3 linked regions of the Rattus norvegicus genome follow. The protein of the gene in region 2 purifies or fractionates together with the protein of the main gene of each other region. This does not show direct contact. Links are inferred from orthologs where the notes say so. Each region holds a gene or a part of one and is shown on either strand. Other genes may lie near its edges.

Evidence for each region.
Region 1: the proteins of Fgf11 (region 2) and Ube2o purify together in Homo sapiens (affinity purification with mass spectrometry; 3 studies listed by BioGRID and IntAct, with this or other methods). This does not show direct contact. The link is inferred for Rattus norvegicus from reciprocal best matches to the Homo sapiens genes FGF11 and UBE2O.
Region 3: the proteins of Fgf11 (region 2) and Ahcyl1 purify together in Homo sapiens (affinity purification with mass spectrometry; 3 studies listed by BioGRID and IntAct, with this or other methods). This does not show direct contact. The link is inferred for Rattus norvegicus from reciprocal best matches to the Homo sapiens genes FGF11 and AHCYL1.

What each region holds. Positions count from the first base shown.
Region 1 is NC_086028.1:102,272,375-102,278,300, forward strand, and holds part of Ube2o (ubiquitin-conjugating enzyme E2 O), read right to left. Parts: intron 4,754-5,926; coding exon 4,694-4,753; intron 4,535-4,693; coding exon 4,424-4,534; intron 2,454-4,423; coding exon 2,356-2,453; intron 1,990-2,355; coding exon 1,926-1,989; intron 461-1,925; coding exon 317-460; intron 1-316. UniProt on the Homo sapiens protein: E2/E3 hybrid ubiquitin-protein ligase that displays both E2 and E3 ligase activities and mediates monoubiquitination of target proteins. Negatively regulates TRAF6-mediated NF-kappa-B activation independently of its E2 activity.
Region 2 is NC_086028.1:55,016,604-55,022,629, forward strand, and holds the start of Fgf11 (fibroblast growth factor 11), read right to left. Parts: upstream 4,171-6,026; 5' UTR 4,054-4,170; coding exon 3,861-4,053; intron 2,253-3,860; coding exon 2,142-2,252; intron 1,932-2,141; coding exon 1,828-1,931; intron 1,259-1,827; coding exon 1,038-1,258; intron 802-1,037; coding exon 762-801; coding exon of another isoform or gene 731-761; 3' UTR 1-730.
Region 3 is NC_086020.1:197,987,113-197,993,038, reverse strand, and holds part of Ahcyl1 (S-adenosylhomocysteine hydrolase-like protein 1), read left to right. Parts: coding exon 1-17; intron 18-1,130; coding exon 1,131-1,225; intron 1,226-2,022; coding exon 2,023-2,129; intron 2,130-2,956; coding exon 2,957-3,073; intron 3,074-3,318; coding exon 3,319-3,382; intron 3,383-4,089; coding exon 4,090-4,178; intron 4,179-4,543; coding exon 4,544-4,614; intron 4,615-4,954; coding exon 4,955-5,049; intron 5,050-5,133; coding exon 5,134-5,232; intron 5,233-5,794; coding exon 5,795-5,863; intron 5,864-5,926. UniProt on the Homo sapiens protein: Multifaceted cellular regulator which coordinates several essential cellular functions including regulation of epithelial HCO3(-) and fluid secretion, mRNA processing and DNA replication.

The sequences.
Region 1 (5,926 bases), about 47 Mb from region 2:
AACCAATCAATCATTAGGGTTAAAGTTAGGCATGGATAAGTAGATTGCCAGAAGTAGACTTTCAAGGTCTGCAGCACCACATACAGATATACTGTGGCCACCCACCCAGTAGAGTCAGGGCCACTCCAGTCTGCACAAGCAGTGCAAGTGGAGGGATCAGTAACTACCCCAGGACTACGCCTAGGCTGCTCCAATGCTTGAATCTCATTTAGGTCACCAGGGTTTGGGTACTGGGGGGCAGGCCGGAGGGCAGCAGTGTAGTCCTAGGACCTGGAGCTTACAATTCTACCCCTCACCCCACCAGTTATGTCCTTACCTCCTCCACTACCACACGGAACTTGCTCTTGGTGCTGAGCACAGGCTTGACCCCTGAGAGCCACTGGACACTGGAGAAGATCTTGGCTGGGCCAATAAGTACTTGGCCTGGGTAGAAGCCATAGGAGTCATCAAAGAAGAGACCCTGCAGGATTCGAGGGCAGAGGAAAGTGCACAGTAGTCAGCTGTAGTGTGACTTACCTTGTGTCCCTGGCACATTAATGGATGCCTGGTTGCTAGTAAACTGGCTGTTTAAGGATCTCTAGCTGTTAAGACTGTTTGGGGTTGGGGATTTAGCTCAGTGGTAGAGCGCTTGCCTAGGAAGCGCAAGGCCCTGGGTTCAATCCCCAGCTCCGAAAAAAAGAACCAAAAAAAAAAAAAAAAAAAAAGACTGTTTAACACTAGGCCTTCAGTGTTGGTTGCCTCTTGGATTTCTGGAAACGGGATAGGTGGATAGGTTTACAAAAGCCAGGCAAGGCAGAGAAAAAGGGTGAGGGGTTGGCAGAGTGAGAGAAGCCAGTTGGTGCAGAAGACATGGTTAGGAGACAGATGAGTCATGAGCAGATAGGCTACAATGGTTGTTATAGTTTGGAGCTGATAGTGTTGGGAACACTGGGAGAAAGGACTGTTTAAGCAGAAACATTTGAAGTGGCTGGGCTGGAAACTGGGAGGAGGGCTAGCAGGGAGTTAAGGAACTGGTTACTGTTTTTCTTTTTCTTTTTTCTTTTTTTCGGAGCTGGGGACCGAACCCAAGGCCTTGCGCTTGCTAGGCAAGCACTCTGCCACTGAGCTAAATCCCCACCCCTGGTTACTGTTCTTAAAAGCCATCTTACATTAGCCCTCCTTGGCTAGTCGCATGACATGGCATCTAGGATGGCCGGAGCATAGTCTACAGAGAATATATTTCCCAAGCCTGGTGCAAACCAGGTGCTAGTAATCATATTAAAATGCACTGCAGACTGTTCCAGGCCTTAACAGGCTCTCAGGCAACGCAGGGCTGGTGGTCAGGGTCACACACTCAGAAGCAAAGCCCTAGAGAGCAATAGCACACACTTGTTTAATACGACGTCTCTAGTACGAACTACGTCCGTGTGTTACTGTGCTGTATTCCTGCTGGACAAAGTGACTGTGTGCTGAAGGGTGAGAGACAAGGCTGACAGTGTGGTGTCACACCGGCAATCCTAGCACTCAGGAGCTGAGAGTTTGTGTTGGAGGCTGGCCCAAGCTATAGAACAAACTGGAAAACAAAACAAGTGGCCCTCGGAGAGATAAAGAGCAGAGGACCCACACACATGACGACTCACAGTCCTCTTCCCCCAGTACCAGGGACCTGACCTTTCTTTGCCTCCACACACGTTCCATGGACATGGTGTGCATTTCCTTTTCTCTGATTTTCTCATAAAATGAATCTTACCCCACCTCATCCCACCTCAGCCAACCACCCAAGTGAGACTAGTAACAAATTAGTGTTTAATGCCCCTACCCAAGCCTCAAGCAGCTCTGGTGCCCTCTTCCCCTGGCCTCACAACCTTGCCCAGCCTCGCACAGTCCTCATGTCTAAGCAGCTGAGGAACAGACATGATGACTCCCTTCTGGCAGAGCAAACGTACCGAGTCGCTGACGTGAGGGCAGACATCGTAGAGTTTGGCACCATCTTCAGTGTTCATGGAGCACCTGAAACAGACAGAGGCTTGGTCTCCACCAGGGCACAGTAAGCACCAAACACCAAGGACCAGAGGCCCTGAGACTAGAGCATCCCCAGAACACGCCATTCATCTTCCACCTACGGCTCAGCCTCTGCCACAGCACAGGAGCACAGCTCCATCTGAGTGCCCGCCACTACTAACACTGCAGAACAGAGATGTCCAAATGAAACACCTCACCAAGCTCAGATACCAAAGCCTGAGCTGTAGAGGGGGTGGACAGGAGTTACCACGGGGATACAGGTGCTGAATGCCAGCACCATCCATTACCGTCTGGGACCACCCCTGACCTCACAGCGCTGGAGACTCAGGCGGCTGTCCCTAAGCTGACACCTACCTGGCCCCATTGGACAGTTTGAGGATGATCTGGTTCTTCAAGTCATAGACCTTCCCCAGCCAGCAGTCATAGGCGATATAGTCTCCATACATGAAGGGCTGCAGATCAAGGACATGGCACTGAGCTAGGACACACACCACAGAGCCGAGAGTCTTCTTGACCCCAGTAGGATGTAAAAGGTTCTGAACGATGTATTAACACTGCATTCCACGTCCCTTCTCCTGAGCAGGCAGAGGAACTGTGGGCTCCTAGCAACGGGAGTGTCCCACAGTGGCAGAGGAACCAGCACGAGGAGGTTGGCATGGTTGGGAGGTGGCTTTGTGGATAGGTAGAGACCATGAATAAAGGTCAATCCACTGAGAACACTGAGCGCAGTGAACTTGCTGTTAAAAAGTGTTCAGCAAACAGAAGCCATCCCAAAGGAGCTTCCTCATTTGGGACAATTGAAGGGAAAAGTGATGAGAGTACTGAATTATAAGCAGTCGAATAAGTGCATACTCATAAAAATGAATGAGCAAAGAAACAGGGCAGTAGGCACAGCCCTTCCACACAGAAGAATGCCAACCAACAGAAACAAGGGAACAATGACTTAAGGAAGACACCACGTGTGACTGTCAGAGGCATGGCCTCTTTAAATGGCAATGTTCCCAAGACTAAGGCTTGCAGATGGTGGACTAACACGGAGTCTGATGTGTGGAACATAATTACTGACTGGGGGGTAAAGGATGACCTCACAGTGGAGAGGACTATGAAGATCAACATGACCTGCATGCAGAGTAAGCACCCCAGCAGTAGAGTAGCACTGGACATTAAAAAAAAGTCTACACATTGGGGCTGGAGAGATGGCTCAGTGGTTAAGAACACTGCCTGCATGGGGCTGGGGATTTAGCTCAGTGGTAGAGCGCTTACCTAGGAAGCGCAAGGCCCTGGGTTCGGTCCCCAGCTCCGGGGGGGGAAAAAAAAAAAAAAAAAAAAAAAAGCACTGCCTGCTCTTCCAAAGGTCCTGAGTTCAATTCCCAACAACCACATGGTGGCTCACAACCATCTGTAATGAGATCTGATGCCCTCTTCTGGTGTGTCTGAGGACAGCTACAGTGCACACATATACATAAAATAAATGCATAGTTCTTTAAAAAAAAAAAAAAATAAAGCCTACACACAGCTGCACAGCACCAAGGCATGCTGGGAGTCTGTCCATGAGGCATTATCACGCACAAGCTTTTGCAGTATCACCGTCCAGGATGTGGAAGGACATCCAGATGGGAAAGAAAAACTGACAGGTAAATGCCAGGTGTGTTCCTGGATAGCCTCAGGGGGAAAGCACAGCCGGGCAATCTGAAGGTCAGGCAGTGTGCATGTGGTGTGACCACGGACTCCTCCGTCTACAGGCTGTATCCGAATTGTGGAAAGTAGAGAATGTAGTGAGCAGGGGCTCTGGGGGCTTTCAGATGGTTCAGGAGGTGAAGATGATGGGGCTCTGTGGGGAGGTCAGCAGATGCACACTGGAGAGGGGGCACACAGACTTAGCCCTTCTGGGTAAGTTGAAAGTCCTTTTCACAAGACAAAGGAATGTTTTGCTGTTGTTCGTATATGTATGAGTACTCTGCTGCATGAGTGTATGTGTGCCACGTGGGTGCCATATTCTCAGAGGTCAAAGGGCAGAGCTGGATCCTCTGGATCTGTGTCTTGCCTATGGGGCCATCCATCTCTTCTTCCTTCTTGGTGCTAAGTGTTGGCTGGAGACGGAGAGATGGCTCAGCAGTTACGAGCACTGTCCTCTCTTGCTGGGGACCTGGCTAACTCCCTCTTCTGGTATCAGCACGCAAGTGGTACACAGACTGTATGCATGCAAAAACGCCCCACACAGCAAACAAGCAAGCAAGCAAAACCGTGTCTGTCTGTGGTAGTGAGAAACAAGTAAAGTCCTGATCTGCACTGAGGCCGCGGCAGAGGGGGCAGACCCTGATGACCTCATGTCCAGTAGCTCACACGCAAGGGCAACACCAAGGCTGCACTTGGCAGGAGCAGCACGGAGACCATACAGCCAAGATAAGTGGCCACCACTCACCCAGATGTGCTGGAGGTCCTTGCTGTTGACAGGGTAAATGATGCAGTTGGTGCCAATGAGCTTGACGGCACAGTCAATGTTGACGTCTATCACCGTGCCACACTGACTGTCCTAGGGGAAGAAGGAAAAATTCACACGGTTGCACTAGGAGACCCCAAACAGACACTCCCTAGTGATCTTCACTCCCCAACAAAGCAGCTCTGCTCCAAACAAGAGTGGGAGCAGACAGACTCAACAGCCCGATGGGATGGGGATGAGGGGCTGACTCACAGTTGAGCGCATGTGCCGGACCACATCCCGGGGCACCACAGAGCGGTCCTCCAGTTTCAGCTGTAAAGAAAACATGAATGAGAGGCCTGGAAACAGCAGACCTGAGGCAGAACGCACTCCACTCAGGTGCATCCCGCCAGGGGCAGACAAGGGAACCTTTTATCTGTATTCAGTCCTTCTCTCAGTGTCTTACCCTCTGACCTTGGCTCATCAGTGCTCAGAAGTGGTTGGAGGACTGGCATGACACTGGGCAGTGGCCAGTCACCATGAAGCCAGCTGTCACTGGACACCACCCTCCTAATCTGGGTTATCCTGCCTGCCCAGCTGCAGCCTGCTCCTTATCTGTGACATTGCACAGCCTGTCCTGACCCAAGTGAACCCCCAGAACTGCCACCTACTGCTGCTGGGTGGCCTCAGCCTCTACAGCCCAGGCAGAGCTGCCTCTCTGCCAGGCTGATTCGTCTTCTCTGTTCTCGAGTCTCCAAATCTGGATTGTTCTGCCATGGAGCAACCCGTGAGTGATTGCTCCAGGACTGGCAAGCACACACCAGGGAGAGCTGCCCTCAAGCTCTACCCAGCTCTCAATAACATCAGCAAAGGCCTCTCTGCTCTCAACTGAGAAAGGTGACTGCAGAGGAACAAGATGGAAACGCTGGGGGGGAGTACAAGGTCACCACAGCTTTGAGGAGGACAACTAAAACACACTCTACAAGTAGGCTATGACTTAGAGGGAAGCAATGAAGCACCACGATAAGTAGGAATGCACAAACTGCCACAGGGACCCAGACCTGTTCCAGATGACAACGTGGTGATCGGTGTTAGCCTACTGCTTCCATGGTACCTCTGCAGCCAGCACTGGGACCCGTGACAGGATTGAAGCCACAAACAGAGCCCAAGTGCATACACATACAGCTCCTACCATCACCCATGGCTGCCTGACTCCTGGCTTCAAGGCACTGGAGGGAATGCAGAGAGGCTGGTGCCCCTTCTAACTGTAAAGACACTTTGTGCCTGCCCTACCTTAACTGCCTCTTAGCTTAGACTTCGAGACACCACCAATCAGGGGCCTAAGTCATCACAGAAAGCAAAGGTGCACATGGGAGGGAAATTCAAAGAGTGAGAGGCTTGAAGAGAGCCATGAGCTGAGTCTGCAGGTCATGCCCCTAGTGGCCTTTGTCAGGTCCAGGCACTGCTAGGGGAGGAGGGGATATACATGTACAGGCTTCGATTGAC
Region 2 (6,026 bases):
GGATAAGAGGTTTAACCTGTGGTGACCTGAGACTCCTTCCAATTCAGACTAAGGCCAATAGCTACATTAGGAGGCTCAAATTCAGCCTCTTTAAAAAAAACAAAAACAAAAAAACCAAAAAACTAGGGGTGGGAGGTGTCCATCTAGGTCAAGGATAGAAGTGTCAAGGATCCTGGCTTCTAACACAGAGCATAGGAATGGCCCTGCCTGGCTGGAGTGACCAGCTGTATCAGAACCTGTCCAGACCAACACAGAGGGTAGAGGACAGAGGAGATGAAGTCTGGGTGCCAGTGGACCGACCTAGAAAGCTATGGCTTTGCAGCAATGAAAAGAAGGACATGGCTTCAGAGACTGGCTCAGCCAGGGCAAAGAGAATTCCCTTGCCTTGTCAGTGTTGGAACCCCGGTGCCTTTTAGGAAAAAATGGGGTTCTCTTAAGGGGCAGGAGTTAGTGTGGGAAAAAAAGAGAGCTGACCAGCCAGGATCATTTCCAGCGCCTCCGTCTTGGAGCCTCTCCTGGGCCCCAGGATCTAAGAGCTCAGCAATTCTGGAGGTCCCAGAGAGCTCCTAAGCTCCCACAGGGTACAGCACCTGGTGAGACCTGGCTGCTCAGGGCATGTGTGTGGCAACAGGGGCAAGAGCAGCAAGGCCTGGAGCAGGGCTGGAAGACGGGGTGTGGCGGTGGCCGGCTCACTGGAAGTGCAGAGAGCCTCCAGTCCAGGGACTACATCTCAATGGGCAGGGGGACTGGAAGGGGAAGTCTCAGGGACACTGTGGAGAGAAGGCTCCCGGTACATGGCCACTGTGAAGGGGAGAGAGAGAGCAGCAAGGAAGGAGAATTAGGCACACAGAGAGCCAGGAAGAATCCTAGCTCTGAGAGGCCTCCCTTCTCTTACACTCACCCTTGGAGAACCCCAACCCCCGCCAAAGGCTAAAGCCTTCCCGCTTGGCCCGCCATAACAACATGCCGTTGAACATTTATGGGCATCTATGTCACTAAGTATTCATGTCAAGGTCAATACCTCCCACATGACCCACCTTTTCTTGAGCCCATACCCACCCTCCAGGAGCTTGGGCACAAAGTGGGCAGCTGCCTTGGTCTTCTTGACTCGGTTTCCCTTCATGACCCGGCCTTCCTTGTCCAGGCCTAGGTACCAGGCCCGGCCAGAACGACGCTGGCGGTAGAGAGCAGAGGCATACAGGACATAGTAATTCTCAAAGACGCACTCCTTAAAGCGACACTCTGCTGTGAAATGCGGCTGAGAAGACAAAGATCCAGAAAGAGGCGTGGAGACACACACGGACACACGGACACACGGACAAACACACAGAGAGAGAGAGAGAGAGAGAGAGAGAGAGAGAGAGATCACTGGCAGAATGGAGCCCTTGGGAAGAAGCAGCCAGGATATAATCCATACATTGTTTGGAAAGGAGGACGGCAGCTACTGAGTCCACACAGAAACCAGAGCACAAGCACAGGGAGAATAGGAAGAACCTGGTGGATCACCCAGGGGCGGGAACTAGATCTTTAGGGGCACTAGAAATAAGATCGCTTCTCTTCATTCCCAACCTCTTACTTATCTAGAGGAAAGATGAGGCTTAAAGGCTGAGAAATGTCTCCCTAATAGCAGAAAGAATCGAGCATCCAAAGAGCCTGGGGTACTTGAGGGTGAGCATTGCGAGTGGAGATGGGTAAACTCTAGAGGAGGAGTTCTGGACCAGGCCCTCATCAGCCCAGAGTCCTGGGTGTAAGTCCTGTGTGTACAAAGGGTGGTTCTCTGCTGAGGGTGTCCCCCATACTCCAGGCCACTCAGCCTGGTCGTCTTACCGAGCTGTACAATAGCCCCTCAGCATTCATGGCCATGTAGTGACCCAGCTTGGCACTCTGGATGGTGACCACACGAAGCCCCACGGGAATCAGATTGAAGTGGGCTGGGGGAGTAGAAAGCCAGCATCAGTACCCAGGTACCTGGCTTCCATCTGAGTTCCCCCCCCCCGCCCCGCCCCCGACTCCAGCCCCACCGCCTCCCTGGGGGCTCAGGAAGACAAACAGAAGGTGGCAAAGCCTGAGGAGGTGATAGGATTGTCATCTCCTGTCTCCATCTCCCCACTTCCCACCCTGCAGCTGGTGTCCCTTCTCACTGAAGGAGCTGGTGTCCTCTGGGGTGCCCTGGATGCTCCCATCTGGATTCGCCTGGAGGTAGAAACCCTGGCGGCAGAACAGTTTGGTGACGATGCCTTTGAGCTGAGGCTCTGGAGAGAGAGACATTTATCTTTGAAAATGACATCTCTGTTCCCAGAAACATTCCTACACTTGGCGGGATCACAGGAGAGAAGGAAGGGGGAATGAAGAGGGTTCCAGGGCCCCAGCTCCCTTACCCTCCACGCCAGCTTCCTTCCACCTCTCTGTGATTCCTGAGGAAGCTGGGGTGTGGGTCCCTTCCGCTTTCTCTAATCATGAGCGTCAGCTTAATTTATTGAAATTTATTTAAATGGTTTAATTCCTCTCCCTACCAGAGTTGGGGGAGGGGGCAGGGAGGCGGTAGAAGAGAGAGACAAAGGCAACGGACAGTGCCAGAGACGCAGGGCAATGTGTTTGCAAATGTCGGGGTGAGCAGCAAGGTGACCACAGGGAAGGGGCTCCCCCTTAGAAGTAGGGGTGGGACTGGGCTTGACTGACGCTGACTCAGCACCTGCTGCTGCAGCTGCCGCTCGCTTGGCGCGGGCCTTGCTCTGGCACAGCGCCGGCCTGTCTGACACTGACCCATCTGTCTGTCTGTCTGTCAGTCAGTCGGCTGGCTCATGAAGGTCCAGTTTTTCCTGAGACTGAGCCTCTACCCTTCAGCCAGGTAACTGGCCGGGGATAGGGGACATTTAAACCACATCAAGGAAAAGGAAGAGGGGACAGAGATGGAGAAGCAGGCTGCATCACGTGGGGGCTGGGTCCCACTCAGAGGGTGGGCTGCGGACTGTACCACTACCTATTGTTGGTGATGGGGGAGGAGGGCGCAAGGGGCTACCCCTAAGGGAACCGGCAGCGGCCTGGAGCGAGGCCAGAGGGACTCCCTAACTGTCGTACCTGGACGGGAATCACATACCAACCCTTACATCTCTCCCTTCCCTTGGCTTGATCTCTGCCGCTTTCCCTCTTCCCCCTTGTAAGTGGTACGACCCCCCTCCTAAGTCCTGTGCTGGTCTTCAGCCCGAACTGTGTGTGAATTCCTACTGGTAGAGGGTCCCCGGAGGCTGTAGGACCGGATTTCCGAGTCACACAGGAGTAATGGGAGGGGGTGCCCAGCACCCTTCTTGAAGCGCAGGTCACAGAAGGAGGGCGTATGGAGGGGGCTGGCTGACGAGGTAGCTGCAAGGACACCCGGGGGAGAGCTGGAGAGATTGGCTCCTGGCCAGGCGAGCTGGACCAGGAGGAACAGAGCCAAAGCGTGGAGGGGCGGGAGAACCGGAGCGGGGGCGGGGCAGCCAGGGCTGCAGAAACCCTCGGGGTGACCCAAGCGTCCAGAACCCCTCAAGCCCCGCCACTTCGGATGGAAAGAATCGCGAGAACCCGCACGTAGGCGAAGAACCGTGGGGGTGGGGAGTCCTGTGTTGAAGGGGGGCCGACAGGAGCTGAAAAGCTTGGGGCGCGACTTCGCCCCTCAAACCTTCCCCCTGCCCTCGAAAGCAAGGAGATTCGGCATTACAGGCAAAGAGGAAGAAAACTGAAGGATAGTCCCGTACATTTTGTCGTTCTGGCCCACCTCTTCCACTTCTGGGACACCCCCCTCCTCATCGGGTTTCATTCTCCAGGGCCCCTGGGCTCAGGCAGGACTTCAGTCCGGGAGACCCCGCCCTAGCCACACTCACCTGGGCCGCGGTCCTGTCGCGTGGGCCGCCCCCCGCACAGTCGCACCTTGGACAGCAGGATGAGGAGCTGCTTCTGGCAAAGTGACTTGGTACCGCGGGGACACACGCGCCGCTGCGCGGACACCGGCCGGCTGCCCCCGGGCTCGCGGACCTCCCGCTTCTGTCGGATCAGGCTACTGGCCAACGCCGCCATCGCTCCCCGGGAGGAGACACCCCCAAACCAGCAGGCTCCCGGAGCTCCCTGGGCTCCCCAAGAGGAGCCCTCTCACCAGGGCATGCTCAGGACCCAACCCACCGCCCCACCCACAGGATCTGAAGATAAACCCCAGACCCCCGTATTCCCCCCCACACCACCAGCTCCCACCCTTGGGCCCTGACTAGCTCCAGCGGCTCCAGCAGCCTATGCACTCCTCAGCTGACCTCACCCATGAATTTTGTCCCCTAATGAAAGCTTTCCCCTTCCCTCCTTTCTGGCCTCTGTACCAGATAGAGGGTACCTCCTCTATCCCGAAGTCAAGACCCTCCTATTTCTAAGATGTGTTCCCAACACCCTAAGGCTTCTTTCTACCCTATTTAGGGGCCGCTCTTGCCCAGCCTACTCTCATAAAGGGTGTAAGTCCTAAGCTTTGTGGGCATTAGCTCACGCTAGGCTGCTGTCAATGTCAAGAGGAGCCCAGCTCTGTTTTTTCCTTTGCTATACTCTAAATGGAGTGGATCTCCCACTTTCTTCAAATCCCCCCGCCCCCAGCAAATATGACTCAATATCCAGGCTGTCTAGGTTCAGTGAGAAAGGGTTCCCAGACCCTCTGGCTGGAAAATGCTTTTTTTCACTGTCACCCCCATTTCTAGTACCACAGAGTTTCAGCTGCTGAGACCATTTCCTCACCTTGCTACCCTCCACTCCTTTTGAAGTCACCTCCAAATCAGCCCTTTCTAGTGCATACACCAGGTGGTTGTCTGGAGGACCCTCTGTCGCCCCCCCAAAAGGAGCATCAGTCGTTTGTTTGTTTTCTAGATGCCCCTTAAATTTCCCGAGGAACAACTGGCACTGCTTAGATCCCACACCCTCCAATCTAACAAGGCCCCCCAGAGAGGAGTGCACCCACGTTGTCAACACTCCTCAAACGTGAACAGGCCCTTAATAAGTCATAGCGCATCAGAGCTCCCTGCGCCAGGGCTTTCTCGTCTTCCCTGGGACTGCTATAACACCCCTTCCTTTCCCCGACGCCCCTCAACCTGTCCTGTCCTGTTGATCCGGGCGACCGGTGCCGCGAGCTCCGGCTCCAGGCTCCTCCCTCCCTGTCACCCGCAAGCGGAGGTTTCCCCCCAACGTCGGCCTAAGCGTCCCGGACCCCTAGGAAGGAGTGAGGATGTCTCTGCAGAGCGCCTCGGTTCGGCAAAGTCAGAGCACTGGGCCTGGAGGTTGGACCAGGCAGAGCGGCGGAGGCAGCGGCAGCGGCTGTGGGAAGCTGAGGCGGCGGCGGCGACAGAGGCTCCCCCTCCTCTGCGAGCCGGCCCGGGGGCGGGGCAGGGGGCGGAGACGCTGGGAGAAGCTGGGCGGGCGGAACCCTGGGGTTCCTTGGAAGCTGTAAGTGGGGACTGTCACAGAGGCAGGCGGAATAGAGGCAAGGCCTGCAAGTCTCGGGGTTCAGAGGAAACGAGACATAGAGCCTGATATGGCGGGGCTGGGAGCAAGGGTAGATGGAATAGCCGATAGAAAGAAAATGAAAAGGGACTCTACTTCCTGGGATGGAAGTGAGGACAGAAATGGATGAGGAGAGTTGTGGGGAAAGTGGAGAAACGGGTGGCTGTGCCATCCAGTCTGGGCTGTGATCCGGCCTTAATATCTCTCTGCTTTGTTATGAGCCAAATTGATCAGAACCAGGTTTCCAAAAACCAGTTTCTTCCCGCATTTTGTCAGTAAACACATTCTTCCTGTTCCCTGTAGACTCTGAAAGAATCAGGGAGGGAGAGAGGTTCTGGGAGGCAGTACTGGGATAGAAGGGGCACTAGCCAGACTTAGAGAACTTGGGCCTCAGGCAAGGCAGAATACTGGAGAAACCCTTTAGAAAAGAGACTTTGGACCCAACCACACACTGTATGCGAGGGGCAGCAGTCTCCTTCCTCCATGACCCTCTCCAGCCAAAGGAAACACTTTCCATTCCC
Region 3 (5,926 bases), on a different chromosome or scaffold from region 2:
AGCACTGGCTGAGGCTGGTAAGTTCCATTTTACCAACTTTACAACAAAATTGTCATTATACCATACACACACACACACACACACACACACACACACACACACACACACACATATATATATACTATAAATTTGGGCAGTCTTAAAACAACAGAGCCTGAATATCAAGCTTAGTGCTGAAGTATTTCCCTGGTATGCAGCGCAGCAGTGAATTTGATCCCCATTGTCATGGGGGGGGGGGGGGTGAAGAGAACAGGAAAAGTTCTACTAAAGCCAAGGTACACTTTAAAACAGAAACAAAATCAAACAGCACCTAAGGAAATACTCGATTCTAGTGTTGAGTGGATGAAGGAGGAATAGTAAATGTGAGCTCAGCGGTCTCTTCTCCCCAAAAGTTTTACCAACTTTGACAGAACACTGTGAGTGGTCTCTTTTATATTGATGGTTAATGGATTATTTGGTGTTTTGTAGTATACTAAAACATATGTGCTATATAAGTTTTAATTAAAATTAATTTTTATTGTCAAAATGTTCAAATATACATCACCTTGAAGTTGGTCTGAGGACCTTCCACCTTCTAGGATTTTCTAATAATTGTTTGTTGTAGAAGATTTAAGAAATTTTTTTTTTAAAAATTGACAAACTTTTCTTTATACATTACATTGGTAAAACAAACCTTAGTAGGTACACATTTTTTATAACCAAAACATTACATTTTCAGAAGTAATTTCTCATATCACTGACAGGTGACTGCATCATTCATTCCTAGGCCACATGGTTTTACTTCATTTTCCTAGAATTGCATATTTAAATTATTCTGAGGCATCTGTTGCTGTTCAGTGCTCTTGAAGCAGCTTTGTTTTGCACACTTCACTTTGCCTCCTTAAGATGCAGTATAAAGAGTAAAATTGACCTAAAGACAATAATATTTTATGACTCCAAAATATTTTTAAAACAGAAATCTCTTAATTTCTTAAGTACAGTAATTTCTGAACTAAAAAGTACCATTTTGACTTTTTAAGTTTTCCCTCTCTGAATTTTTCTTTTCCCTTTCATTCTTCATGTGGATCTCAGAGCTGGTATTGATGTGCACATCAGAAGCAGCATTAACTAATTTATTTCTGTCTCCATAGGAGTTGCAGTGTTTGCTTGGAAGGGCGAGTCAGAAGATGATTTCTGGTGGTGCATTGACCGCTGTGTCAACATGGATGGGTGGCAGGCTAACATGGTAATCATTCATGTCCACCCCATATTTTTTACTATGGATTTATTTCCTTTTCTCCTTTAAAGCATGGTTCCCTAAATATATTTTTGTGTGTTTGGTCTTATTTACTGACTATATTGCTAAAGTGTTCATAACACAATACCTACTCGGTATGGATCTAAGATGCACAAGTCCCTGGGTTCAATCTCCAGCACCAAAAAGAAAGAAAGGAAAGGAAGGAAGGAAAGAAAGAAATGGAAAAAAGCTCTGCGAAGTGAATAGAAAGGTGGGGGAAGGGTAAGCTGAGGTGGACACAGGGCTCAAACACAGCAGAATAAACAGAAGGAAATGATGTGGTTGGTCCCTCTTTGGAGTAGGAGTCTTATTTCTTTCCTTCCTGCTCCACTTCTCCTTTTGCATTCAGAGGAGCTGTATATGTCAGCTAGACTGAAAATGAGCCCATGATTTGTAACACTTATTTACTGTAGCTGAGCATGGCGCTTGCCTGTATTCCCAGCATTTGAGAGGCTGAAGCAGGAATCCTCGAGCTCAGGAATTTTAGAGTAGCCTGAGCAACAAGCAAGATCCAGTCTCAAAAGAGAACTTTCCGTTGTAGCCTAGAACTCATTGAGGAATTCTCTTAATCACTTTACACCAACAGATTTAACTATATTTCCACTGTCTAAGCCTATTCTGCTGAGCGTTAAGACGTGCTCTTCCAAAATATCCAGGGCTCTCTCACTAGTGTAGAAAATGGGCTCAAAGTTCCCCCTAGCTCTAGCAGCCTGAATGCCCATAGAAGTCTTCTGGCTGTTCTGTAGATCCTGGATGATGGGGGAGACTTAACCCACTGGGTTTATAAGAAGTATCCAAACGTGTTTAAGAAGATCCGAGGCATTGTGGAAGAGAGCGTGACTGGTGTTCACAGGTAACAGATTCTGGAGTAGCTGCCCCTTGTGTCCTTGCCTCATCAAATTCTTCTGGTCTCTCCTAGACTTTAGGGCTGTGTTTCAGACTTTAAATAACTAAGTGGGAGTGTCTTCATTAGATAAAACTGAGTTTTTACTTTTGCAAAATCAAAATGACCATAGAAGGAATTTTGAAGGAAGTTTTTCAAATTCTAATTCACATGCTTTTATCTCTCCCATTTACTCCACTGAGTAATTAACAATTATTTGGGAGTAGGGGCGTAGGGAGGAGTGTGTCTTGTAAAACTTGTGCTCAATGTTGTATTATAATTTTTATATTTTAAATATGGAAGGAAAAGTATTTTTTAAAAAAAAAAAGCTATATGTGATGCAACAAAAAGTAAAACTGGAGATATACTCTTGGCTTGGTGGAAATAACTAAATGGTATCTAGGAGCACTGCTCTACCGGGGCACAGTGTACGTGATTGCTCTCACAGACACAGTGAATCACATCAAAACACTTGTCATCTTTGTTGACCTGAAGTAAACAGGAGTACTGAAAGTTAGAACAATGCTGGCCTAAGGTTATAATGTTCCATTTGTGGAAGAGCAGTAAATTACTTCAACTGAAAATTTTTTACTTTTCTTCCCCAAAAGTAAAGGATAAAGGTAGAAGGAAATGAGTTGAGGAGAGATGACAAGAAAATAGTCATGTTTCCGAAGAATTTCTGGGCATAAATAAGAATAAGGAGGGCAGCATGACTTGAAGAGACAGAAGCAGACTGCTGTTTACTGTTTGTCACTAACTGGTTGTGTGTTTGTTTTGTGGCTTCTTCTCCCTTTTAGGCTGTATCAGCTCTCCAAAGCTGGGAAGCTCTGTGTTCCAGCCATGAATGTCAATGATTCTGTTACCAAACAGAAGTTTGATAACTTGTACTGCTGCCGAGAATCCATTTTGGATGGGTATGTTGAAATGTATACATTCAGACTTGCAGGGATTGGTGGTATTTGTTTGACATGTTAGTCTGATACCTGTAGCTTGCCCCTGTAGTCTCCCACCTTTACATGTAACTAAAGGGGCCCACTTCACACTGATCTCAGCCAGCTTTCAAATGAATTTCTCCTGGGCGTTGCCCTACACTTGAGTTTGGTACAAAGGGACCAAGTTGTAAATGATGTTTGAGATGAGTCCTTGTCTGTTTCCACAGCCTGAAGAGGACCACAGATGTGATGTTTGGTGGGAAACAGGTGGTGGTGTGTGGCTATGGTGAGGTAAATAGTTGGGCCCCCGTGTCTCTGTCTATTCTTATTAGAAGGGCTTTAGAGAAACACTGGAGGAAGGAGACAATCTACAAACACTGACACATGGTTTTCCATACTGTGCTTGAAAATAGTGGCAGAAGTCCTTCTTTTCATATTCATGAATTAAAGGCAGAGTGTATTGAACTTCCATATTTTAGCACTTTATCTTATTGATTAATGTCAACATTACTGTCTCCCACTTATAACCTTTTATGAAATAAAATTCAAGCGGATAAGTAGCATTTTTATCCCCATCTTATGACTTGCATTATAATGGAGAAACCGAAGTGGCATTATAGTTGAATGTCTCTAAAGTGGACTAGGTCCTAGGAAGTTTCATCGTCTTCAGCAGTGGTTCACTGAAGTTCTTGGGCTGCTGGGTATTGAGTAGACACATTGGAAGAAAGTTTTACCAGGTTTTTATGGAGTAAATCAGTTGTTCTTGTTTGGTCTTATTTTCATATTTCCCCAACTCTTGCTGTGACTTGTCTGCTAAATTATCTCTAATTGAGGTTTACAGCCTAGATTGGGTTTCTTTCTGCTCCAGCTGGGGTTGGAATGTTCCCTGGATGATGACTGATTTAAAGAAGACTAATTCCTATCTCCTCAAAAGCTTGTCTGCCCTGGTGATCATGTCTTACTAGACCTGGCAACTTGGGCTTTCCTATATTCTGCAGGTAGGAAAGGGCTGCTGTGCTGCTCTCAAGGCCCTTGGAGCAATTGTCTACATCACAGAAATTGACCCCATCTGTGCTCTGCAGGCCTGGTAAGGGTGGGGTGCTGTAACACTGTCAGGTTTGCTGTTCGTGTTTTGTATTTCTGCAAGCTGGTGATTCATTTACTTCACTGTTTTCGTAGAAATCTCCCAGGGAAAGAGAGTAAGATGCTTTGTTCCCTTCACTCTAAGCCTTTTATGGGGCCTCTTGGCATTTTCTCCTGTGTAGACTCTGGGGCTCCACAGCAGCCAGTCTGTAGCTCCCTGTAGCTCATCATTTGCCATTGCTGGGATGGAACATTGGCTTTTACTTCAGAAGGGGATTTTGTTGTCTAATTTTGTGGCCATTTCAGAACATTTTGTCAACATGAGACACACGTGTGCTTTGCTTATTGTGTTGCTGTCTTTTCTTCCAGCATGGATGGGTTCCGGGTGGTGAAGCTGAATGAAGTCATCCGGCAGGTGGACGTTGTAATAACTTGCACAGGTGAGTATCGGTGCCTTGGTGCATGGAGAGCAGTGCTAACTCTCAGGCTAAATCTCAAAAGTGACCCAGAAGGTAAGACCTGTGCTCAGTGTGAAGTGTCAGAGTGAGTTCTCAGAACTTTTAGCATTTTCCAAAGGCGCTTTTTTACCATGGCGATTTTTTTCAGATTACTTGGTCTTAAAGCCAAATAATTGAGCTCAAGCATTTTGTGTGCACATCTCTCTCAAAATGTGCACAAGCTCCTTAGTGGTTAGCAGACACCTCCCAGGCTCCAGCTGGAAACAGTTGGCATTCTTGTTGCCCAGCTTCTCCTTCTTCAGCCACTCTTCTTTACTTTTAGGAAATAAGAATGTAGTGACCCGGGAGCACTTGGACCGAATGAAAAATAGTTGCATTGTATGTAATATGGGCCATTCCAACACAGAAATTGATGTGGTAAGGTTTCTCTCCATTACAGTTAGGCCTTCCTCTGCATTTATTTCACTCAAGCCACAACCAGCTGTCTGTTCTTCCTTCCAGACCAGCCTCCGCACTCCAGAGCTAACATGGGAGCGCGTACGTTCTCAGGTGGACCATGTCATCTGGCCTGATGGCAAGCGGGTCGTCCTTCTAGCAGAGGTAACGCACACCTCCGACTGCAGGCCTCTATGCTAGGGCACAGAAGAAGGGCAGGGGAGCTGTGGAAACACTAGGTCTGTGTTCCAGTGAGTTCTGTCTTGGGATAAAGATGTATTTTCCTGGGCTGGAGAGATGGCTCATCAGTTAAGAGCACCCGACTGCTCTTCCAGAGGTCATGAGTTCAATTCCCAGCAACCACATGGTGGCTCACAACCATCTGTAAAGAGATCCGATGCCCTCTTCTGGTGTATCTGAAGACAGCTACAGTGTACTTATATATAATAAATAAATAAATAAATCTTTAAAAAAAAAAAAAAAGATGTATTTTCCTAATTGTCTGTCCCCTAAAAGAGAAGCACACCAAGAAAACTCCTTTTTGCTAAGTACATGTGGTGTTTCCAGCCCTCAGCCAATTTACTTATTTGTAAAGAGGGTAAAGCCCAGAGCCCTGATCTGAGTGGAGTGCAGAGAGGTGTAGAGTATTCCCTGTCTGCTTGACGTTGGTGCCATTAGAACCTAGGAAAAGGCAGCGAGCGGCTCATCCTGTCTTTCCTCTTCCCAGGGTCGTTTACTCAATTTGAGCTGCTCCACAGTTCCTACCTTTGTCCTTTCCATCACGGCTACAACACAGGTATGTGGCAAGATGGCTGGTTTTCCTCCACTGAAATGGGAGCTGCGGACATGGACAGATAAG